Linked DNA regions of Mus musculus. The protein of the gene in region 2 interacts with the protein of the main gene of each other region in a biochemical or structural test. Links are inferred from orthologs where the notes say so. Each region holds a gene or a part of one and is shown on either strand. Other genes may lie near its edges.

What was found. The genes of interacting proteins can lie anywhere in the genome.
Region 1: the proteins of Itgb2 (region 2) and Icam1 form a complex in vitro, tested with the Homo sapiens proteins (4 studies listed by BioGRID). The link is inferred for Mus musculus from reciprocal best matches to the Homo sapiens genes ITGB2 and ICAM1.

What each region holds. Positions count from the first base shown.
Region 1 is NC_000075.6:21,011,310-21,021,440, forward strand, and holds the start of Icam1 (intercellular adhesion molecule 1 precursor), read left to right. Parts: upstream 1-4,630; 5' UTR 4,631-4,725; coding exon 4,726-4,792; intron 4,793-7,609; coding exon 7,610-7,870; intron 7,871-10,131. UniProt on the Homo sapiens protein: ICAM proteins are ligands for the leukocyte adhesion protein LFA-1 (integrin alpha-L/beta-2).
Region 2 is NC_000076.6:77,525,513-77,535,599, reverse strand, and holds the start of Itgb2 (integrin beta-2 isoform 1 precursor), read right to left. Parts: upstream 5,231-10,087; 5' UTR 5,141-5,230; intron 1-5,140.

The sequences.
Region 1 (10,131 bases), on a different chromosome or scaffold from region 2:
TGGAAGAGCAGTCGGGTGCTCTTACCCACTGAGCCATCTCACCAGCCCCTTCTGTCATGTCTCTTGTGAAGCTAAAGATCCTAAAGCCAGAATCCCAGCCAGGTGGTGGTGGCACACGCCTTTAATCCCAGCACTCGGGAGGCAGAGGCAGGTGGATTTCTGAGTTCGAGGCCAGCCTGGTCTACAGAGTGAGTTCCAGAACAACCAGGGCTATACAGAGAAACCCTGTCTCAAAAAACCAGCAAAAACAAAACAAAACAAAACAAAAAACAACAAAAAGAGTCCCAGCCTAAAAAGACACAGATGATCTCGAGACCGGCCATCACCACGCACAGAGCTTTCATAAAAATTCAGAACCTGTCCCTGCACACTGGAGACCCTCAGCCAGCTGGAGGAGGGAAAAGGCATCCTAGGAAAGTGAGACTGTGTCTAGAATGTACTTTCAAGTTATTGGGATAGAGCCGGGCAAGGTGTTGAATGCACTTGGGAAGTTGAGGCAGGAGGATCATGTCAACGTGGGCTCTGTAGTAAGTCTGAATCTAGCCTGAACTACATGAAACCTTATCTCAAAAAGCAAAACAGTGGGGGCCAGGGCTGGCAGAATGCTCATCTACTACTCATTGAACTAGGGGAAATGTAAGCAGGGCGTGGTGGTGCTACCCCAGATCTTGAGTGTTGGAAGCAGAAGCTGGGGAGTTCCAAGCCAGCCTGGGCTATAGCCCAAGAGCCTGTCTCAAAGTAAATAAATAAAAACTGAGGCGGCTCAGGCTGCAGGAAGGAGACAGGAGGACAAGCTGTGTTGGGATGAGTGGGAAGGCATAGTGGGTGGAGGGAACTGAAAAAGTCCCCTCCAGAACACCGAGGTAATATCATAGACTGATCCGCAGAGCATTCCTTAGTCCTTGTGAGACCACTTGGCTCCAGGGAGGAAGTCATGCGCTTCCTGCAGACTGAGGTACAGGGCAGGGGAGGAAATTACAAAGGCATGTAACTCTAGTGTGCTGCTCCACAGTCTATTGCCGCCATTTACCTTCCCATCTCCACTCAGCGAAGGACCCTTCCAGGATCTCAGACCCCTCGACCCTGGCCCCAAGCCCCAACAGCTCCAAAGGGTCTAGCCTGAGAATGGACTCAAGTCCAAGAGATAACCAGTGGACCATGCAGGAAGGTTCTCATGTATTCCAGGTTAGCTTCTAGCCTTTGTTTGCTCTTAATTTCTATGTGTGATGCTCTGTATACACAGACCCATGCAGGCCAGAAGAGGGCATCAGATCCCATTACAGATGGTTGATGGTTGTGAGCCATCATGTAGGAATTGAACACAGGACCTCTGGAAGAATAATCAGTCCTCTTACCTGTTGCACTCTCACACTCTCTCTCCAGTCCCCCTTTCTTCCTTCCTTCCCTCCTTCCTTTCTTTCTTTCAAGACAGGGTTTCTCTGTGTAGCCTTGGCTGTGTAGCCTCCAACTTAAAGATCCACCTGCCTCTGCCTCCCAAGTGTTGGTATTAAAGACATGTACCACCACTGCCCGGCTGCCACAGCTACTCTTAACTGCTGAGCCATTTCTTTCCAGACCCTCTTTTAATTAAAAAAAAAAAAAGAAAAGTGTGTGTGTTTGCCACATGTATGCAGATGTCTGAATTCCCGATCCTCTTTCCTCCACCTGGGCTTTGTGCTTGTTAATCAGGCACTCTACTGAGCTCCAGCCCCAGAAAGATTGATTTTTTTGTTTGTTTGTTTTGTTTTTTTATGGGATCCCTGGAGCTTGCGTTACAAGCAATTGTGAGCCTCTAGATGTACTGGATCCAAGCCCAGGTGCTCTGCTCCTAACCACTAGGCCATCCCTCCAAGCTATGCTCACCACACCAGTTTTTTTTTTCTTTTTTTTTTTTTTTGGCTAAGATTTATTTATTTTATGTATGTGAGTACACTGTAGTTGTCTTCAGATGCACCAGAAGAGGAGGGTATCAGATCTCATGGATGGTTGTGAGCCACCATGTAGTTGCTGGGAATTGAACTCAGGACCTCTGGAAGAGCAGTCAGTGCTCTTAACCGCTGAGCCATCTTTCCAGGCCCCACACCAGTTCTTTTTAACCATCAAACTCTCTATCCCTGGCTTTAGTTTTCTATTTTATCAGTAATCACAAAATAATACCCCATGCTTTTTTTTTTTTTTGAGAAGCCCTAAGTGTAGCCCAGGCTAGCCTTAAACATGTAGCAGAGGATAACCTTGAATTCCTGATCCTCTTTCCTCCACCTGGGCTTTGTGCTTGTTAATCAGGCACTCTACTGAGCTCCAGACCCAGAAAGATTGATTTTTTGTTTGTTTGTTTTGTTTTTTTTGGGACAGGGTTTCTCTGTATAGCCCTGGCTGTCCTGGAACTCACTTTGTAGACCAGGCTGGCCTCGAACTCAGAAATCCGCCTGCCTCTGCCTCTGCCTCTGGAGTGCTGGGATTAAAGGCGTGTGCCACCACGCCCGGCTAAGATTAATTTTTTTTAATTACTGTGTTAGATTAATTTTATTTTATATGTGTATTTTATACACTTAACACTTAGTGTGCTTGTGTGTGTGTGTGTGTGTGTGTGTGTGTGTGTGTGTGTGTGTGTGTGTACTACATGCATGCTGGCTGCTTGGCATGGGTGCTGGGAACTTAATTTCAGTCCTCTGCAATAGCAGGATATACACTCAACCACTGAGCCACCTCTCCAGCCATAAGACTGTGTGTGTGTCCAGAAGAAAACATCAGATCGCTAGAGCTGGAGTTACAGATGGTTGTGAGCTGCCATGAGGGTGATGGGAATTGAACCTGTGTTCTCTGCAAGAGCACTTGCTCTGAACTGCTGACCCATCCATCTCTCCAGCCCCCAGTTTATGGTTCTTGAAGAAATCATGTCTTGTGGAACTGACCTTAAACTCATCCAGTCAGTCTCTGGTCTTGTTCCAGTGTACTCTTCAGTACACTTCCAGGCTGCTGCTGTATGCTGCTGGCTTCTCTGTTGAAGGAGTTATGTTCTGCTCATTGATGCTCCACTGAGGATCAAAGCAGGATTTTCCAATATTCAGCTCTTGGACCGATTGGTGCGCTCAACACAGAAGGTGCCGCTTTAAACAGTCAAACTAAAGACTGCATATGGGACCTTAGGGCAATGGAGTCTCAAACAGGTGAAATGAGGACCAAAGACTCTCAGTGACACCACTAGAAAAATCCACTCTGAGGGATTTCCCAGATTCCCTTGAGGTCACTCTGAAACTCCATCATAGTTGTCCTGGGGTAGAGATTGAGTGCCCGCTCCCCAGACACCCCCCCCCCCCAATCAAAACATCCCCGTGGAAATTCCTTAGGAATAACCAGGCTTCAGGCTTGGGTGTGGAGTGGCCTGGGAGCTGTGGGCTCTGGAGGAAGAGCACACGTGCATCTCGACCTCTCCCTTCCGCATCTGCAGCACGACCTCCTGGCCCAGGGCTGGTCTCCACAGCAACTGTATAGGCGTCTTAAAACAGGAAGCCTCGGGCGTCCAAAGGCCAGTAAGCAAGCCACTGGGTCTTGGAAGACTAGGGTTTGATATCTCTCTTTGTCCAATCTCATTGTTCAAGGTCTGCCTCAGTTTCACTGCGAAAAGCAAGAGCAGTGGAGCACGAGGCAGGATCGGGAGTTCAAGGTCATCCTCAACTACAGGGCGTTTGAGGTCACCCTGAGCTACTTGACACCTGACCTCAAGAAGAGACAGCAGGGGGAGAGATGAGAGGGGGAAGGGGAGAAACTAGCACGGGGCGGGGCCAGAGGATGGAGGAAGTGGGGGAAAGGAGTGAGAAGGAGAGGAAACCCCCCCATAAGGCGCGCTGGGGAGTGGGGGATCTCTGCTTTCTGAGAGGTGCCTCTCCTCTTCGGAGTTCTGTTTCTCATCCAGTCTAAGAAAGGGAGGTGCAGGGCTCCACGCCACAGGACCAGACATCTTCCTTCCTTTTGGGGGAGCTGTCAAGACGCCCCAGAAGTCAAAGCAGAAAAGGGGAACCGAGGCCGCGGGGGCGGGAGCAGTCGTGAGTGGGAGAAGGGAAGTGAGGACTGCCTCTCAGGCAGGACTTTCTCACAGCGGATCTGTCCGGGCCTGCTTGGATCGCTGCTTCATCTCTAGTGCCAAGTGGGTGGAGCATGGTCCTGGGGAGAGGGGCACCTCTGAATGGATGGCGTCCCCTAACGATTCCAGGGAGCCCTTATCCCCGGCAAGGGCATGTCTGGTGGGTTAAAGAGGCTTGCAGTAGTTGGGGAAATCAGGACTTGATTTCGGATCCCTGCGAAATGCCGAGCCTCAGTTTATCCCTTTGAGGGGATGGCGGTCCTGATGTCGCAGGGGACTAGGCAGTAGTCAATCAGTTAACCAGGAGGCGTGACTCCTGGAGGCCCGGGGCCTTCTCTCCGGACTCACCTGCTGGTCTCTGACACCACCTCCCCCCACATGTCATTACTTCAGTTTGGAAATTCCTAGATCGCAGGGGCCAGCGAGGCAGGACCACCCCTCTCTGCCAGGGCACAGTCTCCACCCGGAAATACCGAAGCCCTCGTTCCGGAGGGGAAGGCGCGAGGTTTCCCGGAAAGTGGCCCCGACAGCACCGCCCCTCGGCCCCCCGTGAGCCAGAGACTATAAAAGCGCCGCCCGCCTCAGTCTGCACCCAGTGCTAGTGCTGAGCTCCGCTGCTACCTGCACTTTGCCCTGGCCCTGCAATGGCTTCAACCCGTGCCAAGCCCACGCTACCTCTGCTCCTGGCCCTGGTCACCGTTGTGATCCCTGGTGAGTCCGAGGTGGGGTCGCTTTGGGGGGCAGGTCTCCAAACTCCAGGACCCAGAGCGCGGTCGAAATCCCTGCTTCCCGGCCAGCGGAACATCACATAAATTCAGCTGTTAACGGGAAGTGGGATTGGAAACCCAGGGTTGAAAACTAACAGCCCGGAGTTCGAATCCCACGTAGCATCACTCCATGGGTGGGTTACAGAACCCAAAATCTCGGTCTCTCTCTCTCTCTCTCTCTCTCTCTCTCTCTCCCTCCCAGTCCCTCCCTCCCTCCCCCTCTCTCTGTCCTCTCTCTCTCCCCCTGTCCCCCTCTTCCCCTCCCTTCCTTTCTTTCCTGTTTTGAGAATGATGCCTTGACACGTTAGCCTAGGCTGGCCTTGAACTCAGTCCTCAAGGCCTCGCGGCTCTTCGGGTTACAGGCTCAAAACACACTACTCTCCTAAAACATGCACGTTTAGAACCTGGGCTCATGGTCTGTGCAATGGGAACTGTGGTCACAGTCCTTGTCATGGGGCAGTCAGAATATGGCTGAGGTGGGGAACAGATGGTCTGAGGGGCTGGCCCGTCCTAAAGTGAATCTTGAGGTCCGGTTCCCTCCCCCACAGACACCCGTTCCTCATCCTCACCCCTGGGGAAGTCCAGGCTGCTTCTGCGCTGGGGAATTCCAGGGTTGGTGTACCCTGGAGCCAGAGTGAGCCGGCTCAGGACTCCCCACCTTGCTGCTGCCTGGGGGCGGCGCCTGCCGTCCTCCCAAGAGAGGAAGATTCAGAACTTGTTCAGCAGCTATCAGGAGGCTCCCGACTTGGATTCCCGCAATCCATAACTCCTAGCTGGATGACTTCTTCTTGCCTCAGGGTTCTCCAAGGAGCCCGAATAATTCCAGAAGTATTGAGGAGAGTTGCTAGCTGTTATAGCTGTTATTACCTCCACCAGACCACCAATCATAGCACTGGGATCTTTGCGTGTGTGGGGGGGTGAGGGTGGAGAGATGGGGGAGGGGAAAGCTGAGTTCAGTTTTTTGTTGTTGTTGTTATTGGTTTTTCTTGTTTTTTTGTTTTTTTTGGTTGGTCTTGTTTTTTTGAGACAGGATTTCTCTGTGTAGCCCTGGCTGTCCTACAACTTGCTCTGTAGACCAGGTTGGCCTGGGACTGAGACCTGTCTGCCTCTGCCGCCCCAATGGTTCCATCCCCCACCCCCATTCGTTGTTTACTTTAGTTAAGTGGTTACACTTTATTTACTTATTGTACAGGCATGTGCTAGTGCCACAGCAGAATTGTGGCGCTCAGAAGGCAGCTTGCAGGACCACTTCCTTCCTCCTCCCTCTGCAGGGGCTCCGGGGGCTGAGGGCAGGTGGTCAGGCTTGCTGGCAAGCCCTTTACTGGCTCAGCCTCTTGTTGGCTCCTTTTTTGATGTTTTCACATAGAAACCATGTTGGCCAGGCTGTGTACTCCAGGCCAGGCTAACTCCTGATCTTCCTACTCAGCCTCCCAAGGGCTTGGTTTACAGTCCTGCGCCTTCACACCCAGCTGCGGACAGGCCTCAAGTCTTTGCATAAGTTAGTGAATGCTCTGCTTCTGGGCCCCCTCCCACCCCCAGGACTGAGGGATAACCTCAGCCACCCAAGGAACAAAGCAGTGTCTTACTGTGTAGCTAAAGCTCACTGTATAGATCAGGCTAGCCTCAAACTCACGAGTCTCCTGCCTCCTGAGTGCTGGAATTAATGGTGTGTGCCACCACATTTGGCACTGGGGACACCGTGACCCAGAGGATCTTCTTATTTCACTCTCTTCCTCTTCGTGCTGAGCATCCAGCCCCTGCCATGCTCCTTCTTCTGTCTGAAATTGGCTTCTTCTTCTTCTTCTTCTTCTTCTTCTTCTTCTTCTTCTTCTTCTTCTTCTTCTTCTTCTTCCTCTTCCTCTTCCTCTTCCTCTTCCTCTTCCTCCTCCTCCTCCTCCTCCTCCTCCTCCTCCTCCTCCTCCTCCTCCTCCTCCTCCTCCTCCTCCTCCTCCTCCTCCTCTTCTTCTTCTTCTTCTTCTTCTTCTTCTTCTTCTTCTTCCTTCTCTTCTTTTTCTTCTTCTTCTTCCTTCTCTTCTTTTTCTTCTTCCTATTTGGCCAGAGCCATCTCACCCTCCAGACCTCTGCTCAAATCTGTCACCAAGGAGTTATGTCCTGTTCTGTTCTGCTTAAGCCAAAAAAAAAAAAAAACCTCTTATTAACAACCACTATGGAGTCTGGCGTGGTGGCACAGGCCTTTAGTCCCAGCACTTGGGAGGCAGAGAGAGGTAAGGCATATCTTTTTGTGAGGCCAGCCTGGTCTACAGAGTGAGTTCTGGGGCAGCCAGGGTTACATAATGAAATCCTACCTCAAAAAAAAAAAAAAATCAAACAAGCTAAAAAAGGAAAAACAAAATAACAACAACCCATCCACCACTGAGGCTGGGCTGGTGCTGGGCCACGAGGGCAGAGCGCTTTCCTAGCAGGTCTGAAGACCTGGGCTCCTGTATCCAAGGCTGTCCTTACACTCCATTTGTAACCAAGGACCTTACTCAACCCCTGATCCCCCTGAGTGCTGGAGTTACAGGCGTGTGCCACCACACCCAGTTTCTGGGTGCTGAGAGGAAGGAGCTCAGGCATGCTAGGCAGTCAGCCCAGCCCCTCCACACTCATAATTTGTTGCCTTGTGTGCTGGGCACAATGGCCTCCTGCATGGGGTGCAGAATTCTGCCTGGCTGGAGGCTGTGAGGCCAGCACCTGGCCCTGAAGTCACAGGGATAACCAAACTTCCTCTCATCTCTCCCCCCCTCCCTTGTTGTTCCAGGGCCTGGTGATGCTCAGGTATCCATCCATCCCAGAGAAGCCTTCCTGCCCCAGGGTGGGTCCGTGCAGGTGAACTGTTCTTCCTCATGCAAGGAGGACCTCAGCCTGGGCTTGGAGACTCAGTGGCTGAAAGATGAGCTCGAGAGTGGACCCAACTGGAAGCTGTTTGAGCTGAGCGAGATCGGGGAGGACAGCAGTCCGCTGTGCTTTGAGAACTGTGGCACCGTGCAGTCGTCCGCTTCCGCTACCATCACCGTGTATTGTGAGTGGCAGGGCCAGGGCCTGGGAGCAGGGAGACTCACTGGGCACATGACAGCCTTGAAAAGTCCCACAGTCACTTAGAGATCTCTTTAAACATCTGCCAGCAGAGTGTGCCATAGGAATTTAGAACATTCTAGAATGCCACCATTGGATGCCTGGATTGTTCTGTGTTGTTTTGTTTAATTGTACTCTATGACTAATTGTGTCTAATGTTTTAGGTTTTTAAAAATAATCAATTTTTAGCCAGGCATGGTGGCGTACACCTTTAATCCCAGCACTCGGGAGGCAGAGGCAGGAGGATTTCTGAGTTCGAGGCCAGCCTGGTCTACAAAGTGAGTTCCAGGACAGCCAGGGCTACACAGAGAAACCCTGTCTTAAAAAAACCAAAAAAAGAAAAAAAGTCAATTTTTTATTTTATGTGCATTAGTGGTTTACCTCCATGTATGTCTGTGTGAGGGTATCAGATGCCCTGGAACTGGAGTTACAAACAGTTGGGAGCTGCCATCTGCGTGCTGGTAATTGAACTTGGATCCTCTGGAAGAGCAGCCAGTGCTCTTGACTGCTGAACCATCTCTCCAGCCCCAGTCATTTAATTGTTTGTTTGAAGACAGGGTCTCACGTAGCCAGGCTGGCCTTGGACTCACACTGCAGAGCTGAGGATGGCTTTGAACTGATGAACTTCCTGGTGCTGGGATTATAGGCTGATACCCCATACCTGGCTTACCTGGTCTTGGGGATTGAAGCAAGGACTTAGTGATTTCAAGGCAAGGACTCTGCCACTGAGCTGTAGACCCAGCCTCTGACCTAGATCCGACCCTTAAAAACACCTGCAACCCCAGGACTCAAGAGTGGAAAGAACAAGGATCTTAGAAGTTCACAGTCGTCCTTGGATACCTTATTTGGGACAGATAGCCTTGCCTGGACCACGTGGGACATTGGGGAGAGAGAGAGAGAGAGAAAGAGAGAGAGAGAGAGAGAGAGAGAGAGAGAGAGAGAGAGAGAGAGAGAGAGAAATCTTGCTTGGCATCAACAGAGGAGCTTCAGTTTCACATTACAGAGTATCATGGTCTACAATGCGTGGCATCCCAAGAGGCAGCAAGTGATAGGATTTAGGCAAGTGTACATGTTGCTCACCTCAATACCTGCCTAATGTCCTGTTTCCTCTGAAGACCGAATAACAGCTCATGATTGGTCTAATAGATTCTCAGAAGCAAGAGGAAGGACTGCTGGGCCCGCAGGACTCTGGAGACAAGAGTCAGAAACAGCCCTGGAGTTTGGATTGAACTTTTAAATTTGTAGTTTATTTTTAAAAATTATGTTGGGTGCAGTAGTGCATGCTTTTAATCTCAGTACCTGGGAGGCAGAGGCAAGAGGATCTTTGTGAGTTAAAAGCCAGCCTGGTCTACAGAGTTCCAGGCCAGCCAGGGATACACAGTGAGACTCTGTGTGTGTGTGCGCGCGCGCGCGCGCGCGCGTGTGTGCGCGAGTGCGTGTGCATGTGCCAAGATCAGAGGACAACTTGCAACTTGCACTAGTAATTTCTCTTCTTCCAGGTGGGTCCTGGAGAGGAACTCAGGTCAGCAGGCCTGGTGGCAAGTGCCTTCACTCTCTGAACCATCTTGCTAGTCCTCTTTATTGTTTATTGGGTTTTGTTTTTTGTTTTGTTTTGTTTTGGTTTTTGTTGTTGTTGTTGTTGTTTGTTTTTTCAAGACAGGGTTTCTTTGTGTAGCCCTAACTGTCTTGGAACTTTTCCTGTAGACCAGGCTGGCTTCCTTCTGCCTATCCTGGGCTCCTAAATACTGGGATTAAAGGTATGTGCCACTACCATCCAGCCTGCTGGCCCTGTTTTTATTTAAAGAGTGTGTGTGTGCCTACATGTATGAATATGCCCACACGTGGAGGTCAGAAAAGGGTATTGAAACCTGGAACTTGAGTGAGCCATAATGTGGGTCCTGGGTACCGAATTCCAGTCCTTTGCAATGGCAGCCTTAACTGCCTAACTTAACTGCTGAGCCACCTGTTTATTGTTTAAGGTAAGTTGGCTTTGACATCTTACTCTTCATGTTCCCACTCCCAAGCATCCAGATTATAGGTGTGTACTTCCACGCCTGGATTGGATATCAGTTCTTTACATTGATAGGTGTGTGTGTGTGTGTGTGCCCTGCAATCACACCAGGCTCCAGTCTTGGAAATCACTGATGCATGGATCCCTCCCACAGGGATCTGGTCAAGATCTAGGGCGGCTTTGCTCCTTAGGGCTGA
Region 2 (10,087 bases):
CACAAAAACACATACACACATAGCATACACACACAAATACACACATACAAACAATTACACACACATAAAACATACACATAAATATACAAACACACATAGCACACACACACAAATACACACACAAACAAATATACTCAAAACATACAAACACACACACACACACAGAATGAAGAGGAATCTGTATAACTCAGTTTTAGAAAAATCAAGCAGAGATTGAGGCCAGGGGATCAGAAGTTCAAGGTCACTCTTGAGTGAGTTTGAAGCCAACCTGGGCTACATTAAAAGCCTGTCTTCAACAGAACCCACTAAAGATACAATGGAAAAAAGATAAGACAAGGCTGTGTGCCTTATGGTAAAGAAATGTGTGTACAAAATCTAAAGGAAAACAACCAAGAAGACACTGTTAGAAGAAACCATTCCATGCATAATACACTCTACGGAGATAACCGCTAATTCTAGTGTAAACAGCGAATGCTAAGTTTCCTCTCTAAAAGAATTCGAGAAGCTAGTGACAGAAGGTGAGCCTTCAGAGAAGCGTGGACTGTGAACTCAGAGAAGCATTCAACAGGCAGAACACAGAGGCCGAGGGACGTGGGATGCCCATCAAAACTGGGACATTTCTGGAGTAGCTTACAAATGGAAGGTGGCAGCGTCACCATTTTAACATTCATGATGCCCTTCCTGTGGGATCTGGCGCAGCAGCGGCATAGCACGGACAGCCGCTGGAGCAACTCATTCTCACAGTGAGAGCAAATGGAAGGGAAAAAGAAAAAGCCATGGATCAAAACATGCCAGGTCTTGTGGGTAGCATCATCCCCGTGCCTTCAGGCTCCTTCATAGTCGGTCTATAGTTTCCAGCTTTGTATCATAACTGTGCACAGAGCCGACTTAAAAGCTCTGGTGAACACACTATGGGAAATTGCCTCTTACAGTCCCCCAAGCGATTGATGTTTCTGTCCCCACTGCCAACATTCCTGAGGAGAGGAGAGTTCCATCGTGACCTCGGGAAGAGGAAGAATGGTGACCTCACACTGCTATGGGAACCTGCTCATCAGACCTTTGCTAGCTGTAAGCGCTTGCTGGTCTCTTCAGGGCCGTGGACTGGGATATCCAGGCTGCTCTCAGAGATTCATAGGCTTAATTTTCCTGTGTCTTGCCCCCGCCCTGGCTGAGTTTCTGAATGTTCCAAAGCTCCCACCATTCCAAACAGCACCCCAGGGCACCGTTGATGGCTTCCCTTGGGAACTGACCATGAGCATCCTTAGACCCTGGAGCTCAGGGAGATCCTTGCCCATTTGAGACTTCTGCCTTGAAAGCAGCAGCATCGAGGCCTTGAAGTCCCTACATCTCTCACAGGCCGGATCTGAGCATCATAGAGGCCTGGCACGCCCATGTCCATATCTCTTGCACATAGGCCATAACTGGTTGCAATGAATCACTGGTAGGGACCCTGTTATGGAAGGCCCACGGGTGTCAGGGCTAGCTTCTGGAAGTGGACAGTGGTTCTCCAGAAACAGTAATGGAGATCACACCAGCATGTGGGCTAGCCTGTGTCTCTATTAACCTATGCCTGGCCTCAGTCTGTGGGTTTGCTCCAAGAGGACCAGCCTGTCACCTAAGCCCCAGAACCAGACACAGCAGCAAGTTATGTACACATTGGCTCCGCCCTAGAGCTGATACTTCTAGACCTAGGCCCAGCTGCATGGGTTTCACAGACAGGCCACTCTGTTTCCTCTCAACGGAGGCAAAGGATTCTGCACAGGTGGCCCTCCGTGTCTATGTGGCTGAGCTACAGAGCCCAAACACTGGTTCTAACATGGGGCTGGACATTACTAGGCAGGCATTTTCCAAGATTAACCTCTGCGTCAATAGACTCAACAAAGTAGATTTTCCTCCCATAGTTCACTGGGCCTCATCCTATCCGTTGAAGGGCCTGCCTCACGTTGGCTCATTTCTGTGGAGAACCCTGAGACCTCTTGACCCTAAACTAATGCCCAGCTTTCAGAAAGTTGTTGGGGTGGTGCTGCAAAATAGCATTGTGAGGCTGACGGATGGCTTCCTGCTTAGGTTGTTTCTGAGGTAGCCAAAGTGCCAGTCTCTTCTCTGTCAGCTTCAAGGGGTGTTGGACCCCAACCTTCTAAGTCCCTACACAGACCATCTCAGGACTGATGGCATGGGGATGTGGGTGTTTGTGGGATCCAGGGAGACGGAGCAGAAGGCAGCCTCTCGGCTTCTTACTACAGTGTTGGCTGCGTTGATGCTGGCGGTGGGGAAGCGGGGGCAGTGACTAGCCCAGATGCTGTGTTTTCCAAGGAGGGAGAAGCTGTCAGGGCACACGTCCTCAATAGTCCAGGACCTGACCTGACCTGACCTCTGCAGATCCTCCAACTCTTTACCAAGGAACCACTTGCTGGGTGATGACAGGGGTGACCTGACCTCTGCTTTATAAGGACTCTGGCTGTGCCACAGGCTTGCTCTGCTATGGGAAAAGCTCCTAAATAAAGGACTATAAGACTCCTCTTAAAGTTTTAAGCAAATCCTATCAGACTATTTGCAAAATCCACATGCAGAGGCAAGGCCTGGTATAAACGTAACTTTTATTTGCCTGATGTAATTGTTGTCTAAGAGGCTTACTGCTTCAGTCGGCTAACCTAGGCCTAGTCCTGGATGCTTCTAGCCTTCATATAATCTAATCTAGGTCTAGAATGTTTTCAGCCTCTGAGACTTGCTGTTGAATAAGCTTACCCCTTCCTAGTTCTTTCTCAATTCTGGCTGATTCAACTCAGCTGTTCTGGCTCAAACTCCTCTCTGGGTTGACTGATTTAATCTGACCTCTCTCATTTTCTTCTGAATTGCTCTGTTTGGCCTCAAACTAACTCTAGCAATCTGTTTTGATCTTCTGGCTCCTTCTCATTCTCTGGTTCATTCTGTCTTCACCTGTGTCTGTACAACTCTCCCACTAAAAACTGCCTCTTCCCCCTCCTCCTCTTCCTTCTTCCCCCTCCCCTCTTTCTCTAAGTAGCTTCTCTTTCCTCTCTCTTCTAGTGAGAGTTGGGCATATCCTATTCAGTCAAATCTTTCTCTGCTTCGTCACTTTGTCTGCCACTCAATTAGACACCACTTTCAAACATGGCTACTTCCTTCTACAAATTAACTTTACCTTCATTGTTTGGGAGCAAAGGTGTGTACTAAGGGTATGTCTGTATTCCACTCAGAGGGATTAACAGCATGTGCTAATGGGCCACACCACAAATAGAAACCCCTTTTTTCCCTTTGGTAAATAATGCAGAGTTCACAGTGTGATCAGATAGCCTATAACAGCCTGGACCTCTGGCAGCAGAGATATATGCTTTAGGGAGATAGCAGCACTCAGCAACCATAGGGCTCTAATCACTTGGCTTACCTGGGCCACCTGTCTCAGCCTGGCTACCACCTCCCACTATAGAAGTGTCATGGAGAGCGATCCACAGGGCCTCAGGCATGTGGGGTGAGGGAGGAAACCAACACTTCCCTTTGAGGTCCCATTTATGCAACAGAGATAGAGAATGGAGCCAGCCAGTACTGGGTTGGCTGCCTGGGGTTATTTCTTGAACATCCCCTAAGGTTGTCCAACAGCCAGGCAGAGGATGCCCTGAGCTGTTTTTTCCCCCCCAAGGCTTGAACTGTATGTAACCTCTGAGTGACCGAGTGCACTTGGAAGCATTTGGGAACCTCAGGCAGGTCTGACTCATGTCCAAAGGGGGAGAGATGTGAATAAAGTAGCTGAGTCAGAACCTGCACCTCCCTACAGAGTCACCCCACCAGGGCTCCATGTAGCTCCACACACACATTCAACACCCCACACCCCTATCCCCAGCCCTACCACCTGCAGAGAACCACCTGCACCTGAGTGATGATAGATTGTAGCTAGCGGGAGCCTCAGTAGTCTCCACGGCTCACTCCTCATGGGAGTGAGTTTTGAAGGGAATTTTGAGTCATTATTGACTGCAGACATTTGGAGTTTGCAGAGCCAGTCAGCCCACCCTCTCATTTCCCCAGAGTTCAGTGGCCTCCCCAGTTCACACCCTTTCTCCATAGAGAGCAGAAGGCTTCCTCCCAAGCTGTGTATCAAAGATAGCCCCCGGCCCCCTGCAGCACTTCCTGCAAAGGATGATTGCATGGTTCCTCCACAATCGCAGTGAACACAATTCACCCCAGCCTAATGCATGCCTGCGGCAAGACTGTGTCCACATATGTCAACAGAGAAATGTTGGAGAAAGGAGGAGATAGGAAACTTGGGCCTCTCCAGCCCTAACTAACCCTCAGGACTTGCTCATTTTACTCCTGCTTATGGCAGCAGTCAACAATCTCTCATCTGCTCACTCACTGGTGGATGTAGAAAGGGTGTCTGTCACCTGACACCTTCCCCCTATCTGGGATATGACCCTGTGGTTGCTGGCCCCAGGCCTGGCCACTATGGTATGTGGGTGGGATTCTTGGGTAGAGGACTTCCTTATTATCTGCTATGCTGTAAGCTGGGCTGGGCATTTTGGAGCCCAGGTTCCAGAGACTTGCAGGGTAGACTGAGAATCACCCCCCCCCCCACACACACATACACACTCCCCACACGCCATTTTAAAGCAGATGGGGACAATGGACATCTCAGCAGCTCCTTCTCTTGCTCATTACCTCCAATCTGACACTCACCTTCATGACCATAAGTATCTACTTCCATTCATAGTAGGTGGGTGTCAGTATGTGACCCCTTCCCTCCCACAATCTGTCCCAGCCACCTCCACCACCACCCCTACCCCTTATCATAGCTGACCTTCCTCAGTCCCGGGCATCCACGACTATCACAGAGAGAGAATCAACACAGTCGGCTGCCTGCTGACCCACAGTTACAGATGTTCCCAGCGCTCCTGAAACTCTGCTCAGCTGTGGTACCAGGCCTCCCATCCCTGGACGTCAGTCAGGAGAGTCTGAATAGCCAGAAGCCACATGTACAAGACCATTTTTTTGACAGATAGGCAAGGTGAGAGATGGGGAAAGGCCACCAGTGCCTGTCGGGCTGGAGTCATAAAGAGAAATTCCACCGGAAGAGCCCACTTCTGAGGTGTTTCCCATAAGAGCTACCTGAACACAGGAGCCCTGCACTCACCCCCTCTCAGTCCCAGGAAGCCTCCACTCCGAGAATCTGACTGGAGATGTCTTTGCCTACTTCTTGCCAGCTGGCTGTGTGGTTGTGTCTAAAGAACACAGCCGCTGAGGCCCCCCCGCCTGACACTTCCTGTTCTAAGTCAGCGCCCAGGAGGAAGTTGAGTGACATTTGGCTGATTGGCCCACATGTGGGTATCACCTCAGCCCCTTTACACGTGGGACGTTAGAGAAGAGACACTGAGAGAGGGAGGGGCTTGTAGGCGATGACAAGCTTTTACGGCAAGAGTGGAGGGGCTACTGTTGGAAGCAGCAGCCATTGATAGCATCGAGGGGCTCTCTCACATGTCAAGAAGAGGTAGGGATTCATGGACCAGCAGGCGGAAGCAGAGGCTGATTGTGTGGGTTCTCAGTCTGGGAGAAGGACCCAGCTACAAGTGGATGGGCTGAGGTGGTAGCCCACTCGAGGAAGCAGGCGAATGGGAAGAAGGAGGCAGGGGAAGGTCCTGGGCAGAGAAATGGGGCAGAGTGGGGCATGGAGGGATGTGTTAAGTAACACTGTAGGAGCTCAATCACAAAGTTAGTGGTGAACAAAACCCCACCTGACTAGTTGCAAGAGGAGAGAGGGCAGAAAGAGAGACACCAAAGGGAGTTGGGAACCTTTAGCATAAGATTTGAGATGTCAGCCTTGTTGAGAAACAGTTAATTCTTTCCGCAACAATGTTTCATGGTTACATCCCACTACCTGCATCTTTAGAGTTACATGCTGAAATGCTCGCAAATGGTAGAAAAACATGGCAGATTTTCTTCCTTGTAATCAGGATGGGGGTTGGAGGTGGGTGTGGATACAAGACAGAGGCCAGGAGGTGACCACAGCGGAGGGTTGGGGGGGGGGGTGTTGGCTGAAGACCTGGGTGTTCATGTGTTACTCTTTCTTCGTGTAGTATGCTTGGTAGAATTTTTAAAGACATAGTTACATGAAGATAAAGCTGTGGAGTGGGGACATCAGCTATGCAGGACATCCTGGTGATAATGGTTGAGAGGGTTACAAGAAGTTAATAGCCCTGAACCTTTATGCATATTTTCTATATCTTCTCACAGTTGAAAAAAAATGTGCAAAAGATGCCAACTGTTGAAAGAACATTGTTGGAAAGCAGGTGTATCAGTTCACACTTGTAATACCAGAATGTAGGATGCTGATGCGGGAGGACCACTGGCTCAGTGGTTAAGAGCACTGACTGCTCTTCCAGAGATCCTGAGTTCAAATCCCAGCAACCACATGGTGGCTCACAACCATCTGTAATTGGATCCGATGACCTCTTCTGGTGTGTCTGAAGATAGCTACAGTGTACTCATGTACATAAAAAAAACAAATACATCTTTTTTTTAAAAAAAAAAAAAAAAAAGGAGGACCGCTGTGAATTCAAGACCAGCCAGGCAGAACTGTAAGATCCTAGCTCATAAAGGACGGGGAACGGGGGACAAAAGTCAAGAATGAAAGACCTGCACATACTTGTAGAAAATACTAACAAACACCACCAAATATCAGAAAGGCATAGTTCAGAGGCCAGGGAGATAGCTCAGAGGGTAAAGTGCTTGCAACACAAACTTGATGACGTGAGCTCAGCACCCCATTGGGCATGCGCAAAGCTGGGTGTGGCTGTGTGTGCCTGGTACTCCAGAGCTGGAGATATGGACTATTGTCCTCTTGGATCTTTGATGCTCACTGGTCAGCCAGTCTAGCTCATCGGTAAGCTCTGAGCTCAGCAAAGAGATCCTGTCTCAAAAAATGAGGCAGAGGGCAATTGAGGAAGACCCCTGGCTTCCACGAGAGCATGCATGCACAAGCCAGCTCCCTCACAAACAGACAAACGTGGGCATACGCCACAGCACTCACAAAGACACCACAATCTTGATCACTTTTCAATACACTCAAAAGGAAAACTGAGACTGGAGCAAACCGATGGAGCCACAGACCTTCAAACACGTGTAGTGTGGTATCAGTGGGAGTTCTTATCACAGAAACCAAACCTGACAAGAAGAACTTTAAGGGAGGGAGGATTCATCACCTGGGATACAGGCCATCTTGGTGGGGAAGTCTGTGGTGTGTCTTGGAGCTCAGTAGGGGTTCAAGTTTTCCTTTCTTAAAAAAAAAGTTTAATTTTAAATTTTATCTTTTAAATTTTAATTAATTAATTAATTAGCTAATTAATTAATTTTTGTTTTGAGACAGGACCTCTGGCTGCCCTGAAAGACCAGGCTAGCTTCAAACTCACAGAGATCTTTCTGCCTCTGCCTCCTGAGTGCTGGGATTAAAGGCGAGTGCTGCCACGCCCGGCGCACTTTTTTTTTAATGTGTTTGTGTGTATGTCTGTGTGGGTGCCCCCCGGAGGTCAGAAGAAGGTGTTGGATCCTCTCCCCCATCCCCGCCTCAGCCTATGGGATGGTTCTGATCACCTTCAAGATGGGTTTTCTGTTAATCCTCTCTAGAAACTCCTCACAGAAATACCCAAAGGAGTGTTTCACTAATTCTCTAAGGGTCATCTCTTAATCAAAATTAACCACTGCAAGTGTAACACAGAAGCAGACAGGCCAAATAGAATGCTGTGAAATGCTTGAACGAATATTCTAACTTTCCACACCGTGCCGTGATGTCAAAACACGTTGGGATCACTCACTGAGGGTACAAAGCAAGTCTCAATTCAGTCCAAGCTACAGAAATCTCAAGGAAGTCAAAATTAACTACTAAGGAGACCACGAAAGGAGACGCCCAGAGCCCTGCCAAGCTGGAGACCCACCCGACAGAGTGAGAAGCATCCCGTGCCTGTAGGAAGGACTGGATGAGAACGTTAGCCACAAGGTGCATCTCAAGACTGAGAGCACTAAGGTGGTGCACATTGTTAATCCCAGCACTTAGGAGGCAGGGGCAGGTGGATCTCGGTGAGTCTGAGGCCAACATGGTTTACAAAGCTGTTCTAGGACAGCCAGGGCTATACAGGGAAACCTTGTCTCAAAAAAACAAAAACAAAAAACAAACAAGAGGAGGAGGAGGAGGAAGAGGAAGAGGAGGAGGAGGAGGAGGAGAAAAAGAATCCTAGTGTGTCTGGACTGCAGTTTGGTTCTCAGTACCCACACCAGGCGGCTCACAACCATCTGTAACTCCAGCTTCAGGGGAGCTAAAGCCCCTTAATGGCCTCCTCAAACATATGCACACATGATTTAGAAAAACAAACCTTTTTAAAAAGCACAATGGTGAGATTCTTCTCAGGCAGCCAAAAGGAGAAATAAACCCATTTTAACTCTATGCAAATGATCTGATCATGTGTTTCTCGGAAATATGTGTATGAGTAGCCAACAAATATAAAAAATACTAAACATCTTTAGTTCTTAGGGGAAATGCAAATCAAAGCCACGAGAGATGATCTCTCACCCCAGCATGGCCATTACTGGACAAAGAAAGGCAGACGCAGTGAGGGTGTGGGGCGGGGGGATGCCTATGTGTCCTGAGCTAAGCAATGGATGCCATAGAGTCATACCATGCAACAGCTCTCATGTGGGAGGCTTTTTGGGGAGGGATGTGCAGAGGCCACTGCGTCTGGACCAGGGTGGTGGGAGGAAGAGAATGAGGAGGGACTGGCACATGAGTGGAGAGTGGGGGAGGTGTGGATGGGGAGGAGGAGGGATGTGGGAGACTATTGGTGACAGTGGGAATGTGTCACATCTTGGCACCTAGCGATGACATATCCTGCTGTCCCTAGGTCCCCAGGGCAGGCAGTAGTAATGCCTGATTGCTAACACTATGAACTTTTTTTTTTTTTTTTTTTTTTTTTTTTTTTTTTTTTTTTTTTTTACAAATTCAGGTTTCAAACTCTCAGGCCTCCTGTCTCAGCCTCACAGGATACAAAGCATGGGTGACTGGCCTGATGATGTTCTTTTTATTTATTTATTTTTTTTTTTTTATTTTTTTAAAGTGAATGTAAATGCACTCAGTTTTTTTTTTTTTTAAGATTTATTTATTTATTATATGTAAGTACACTGTAGCTGTCTTCAGACACTCCAGAAGAGGGCGTCAGATCTTGTTATAGATGGTTGTGAGCCACCATGTGGTTGCTGGGATTTGAACTTCAGACCTTTGGAAGAGCAGTCGGGTGCTCTTACCCACTGAGCCATCTCACCAGCCCCCACTATGAACTTTTGGTAGGGATGCCAATTAGCATGTCCATCCATTGTGGAGGACCAGATAGAACTTCCTCAGAAACCCACAAATAGAACTAGTCACTGGGTAACTACCACGATGACGGGAAATTAGTATGCTGAAGAGACTTCTGACTACAAGAGACAAAGCCATGGTTGAATTTGGAATCCACTGATGGATAAACGGGGGAAAAAAAAAAGGGAGGGGGTACACGTGTGTGATGGAATATTACTTGGCCATAAAAAAGAATAGGATCCTGACATTTACAGGAACATTGATGAGGGTAGAGATCATTATGTTAAGTGAAATAAATCACACACACACACATACACATGTGCAATGCACACAGTGATCAAATTTGCAAATTAGTGATATGATTTTGTAGAAAAACTTGACACAATTTAGAAATAGTTTAGGCTTTTCATACCCTGCAGACATGCTATGGTGATTTGAGTGAAATTTGCCTCCTTTTGTGCTCCCCACCCCTTCGCATCGTACATGAACAGTTGGTCCTTGTGGCTGCACTGTTTTGGGAGATTATGGAACCTTTAGGAGGTTGGGCCCTACTGGAGAAAAGTGCATCACTGGGGGTGGAGTTTGAGGGTTTATAGCCTTGTTCTCTTTTCAGTTCACTCCCTCTGCACTGTGCTTGCAGAGGACACTGTTTGGTTGCAGACCCCCTGGACAAGGGGCTAAGGTGCGCATTTTACACATCAAAGCAGACCTCGCTTCCAGTTCTCCCAGCATCCCTTAGTC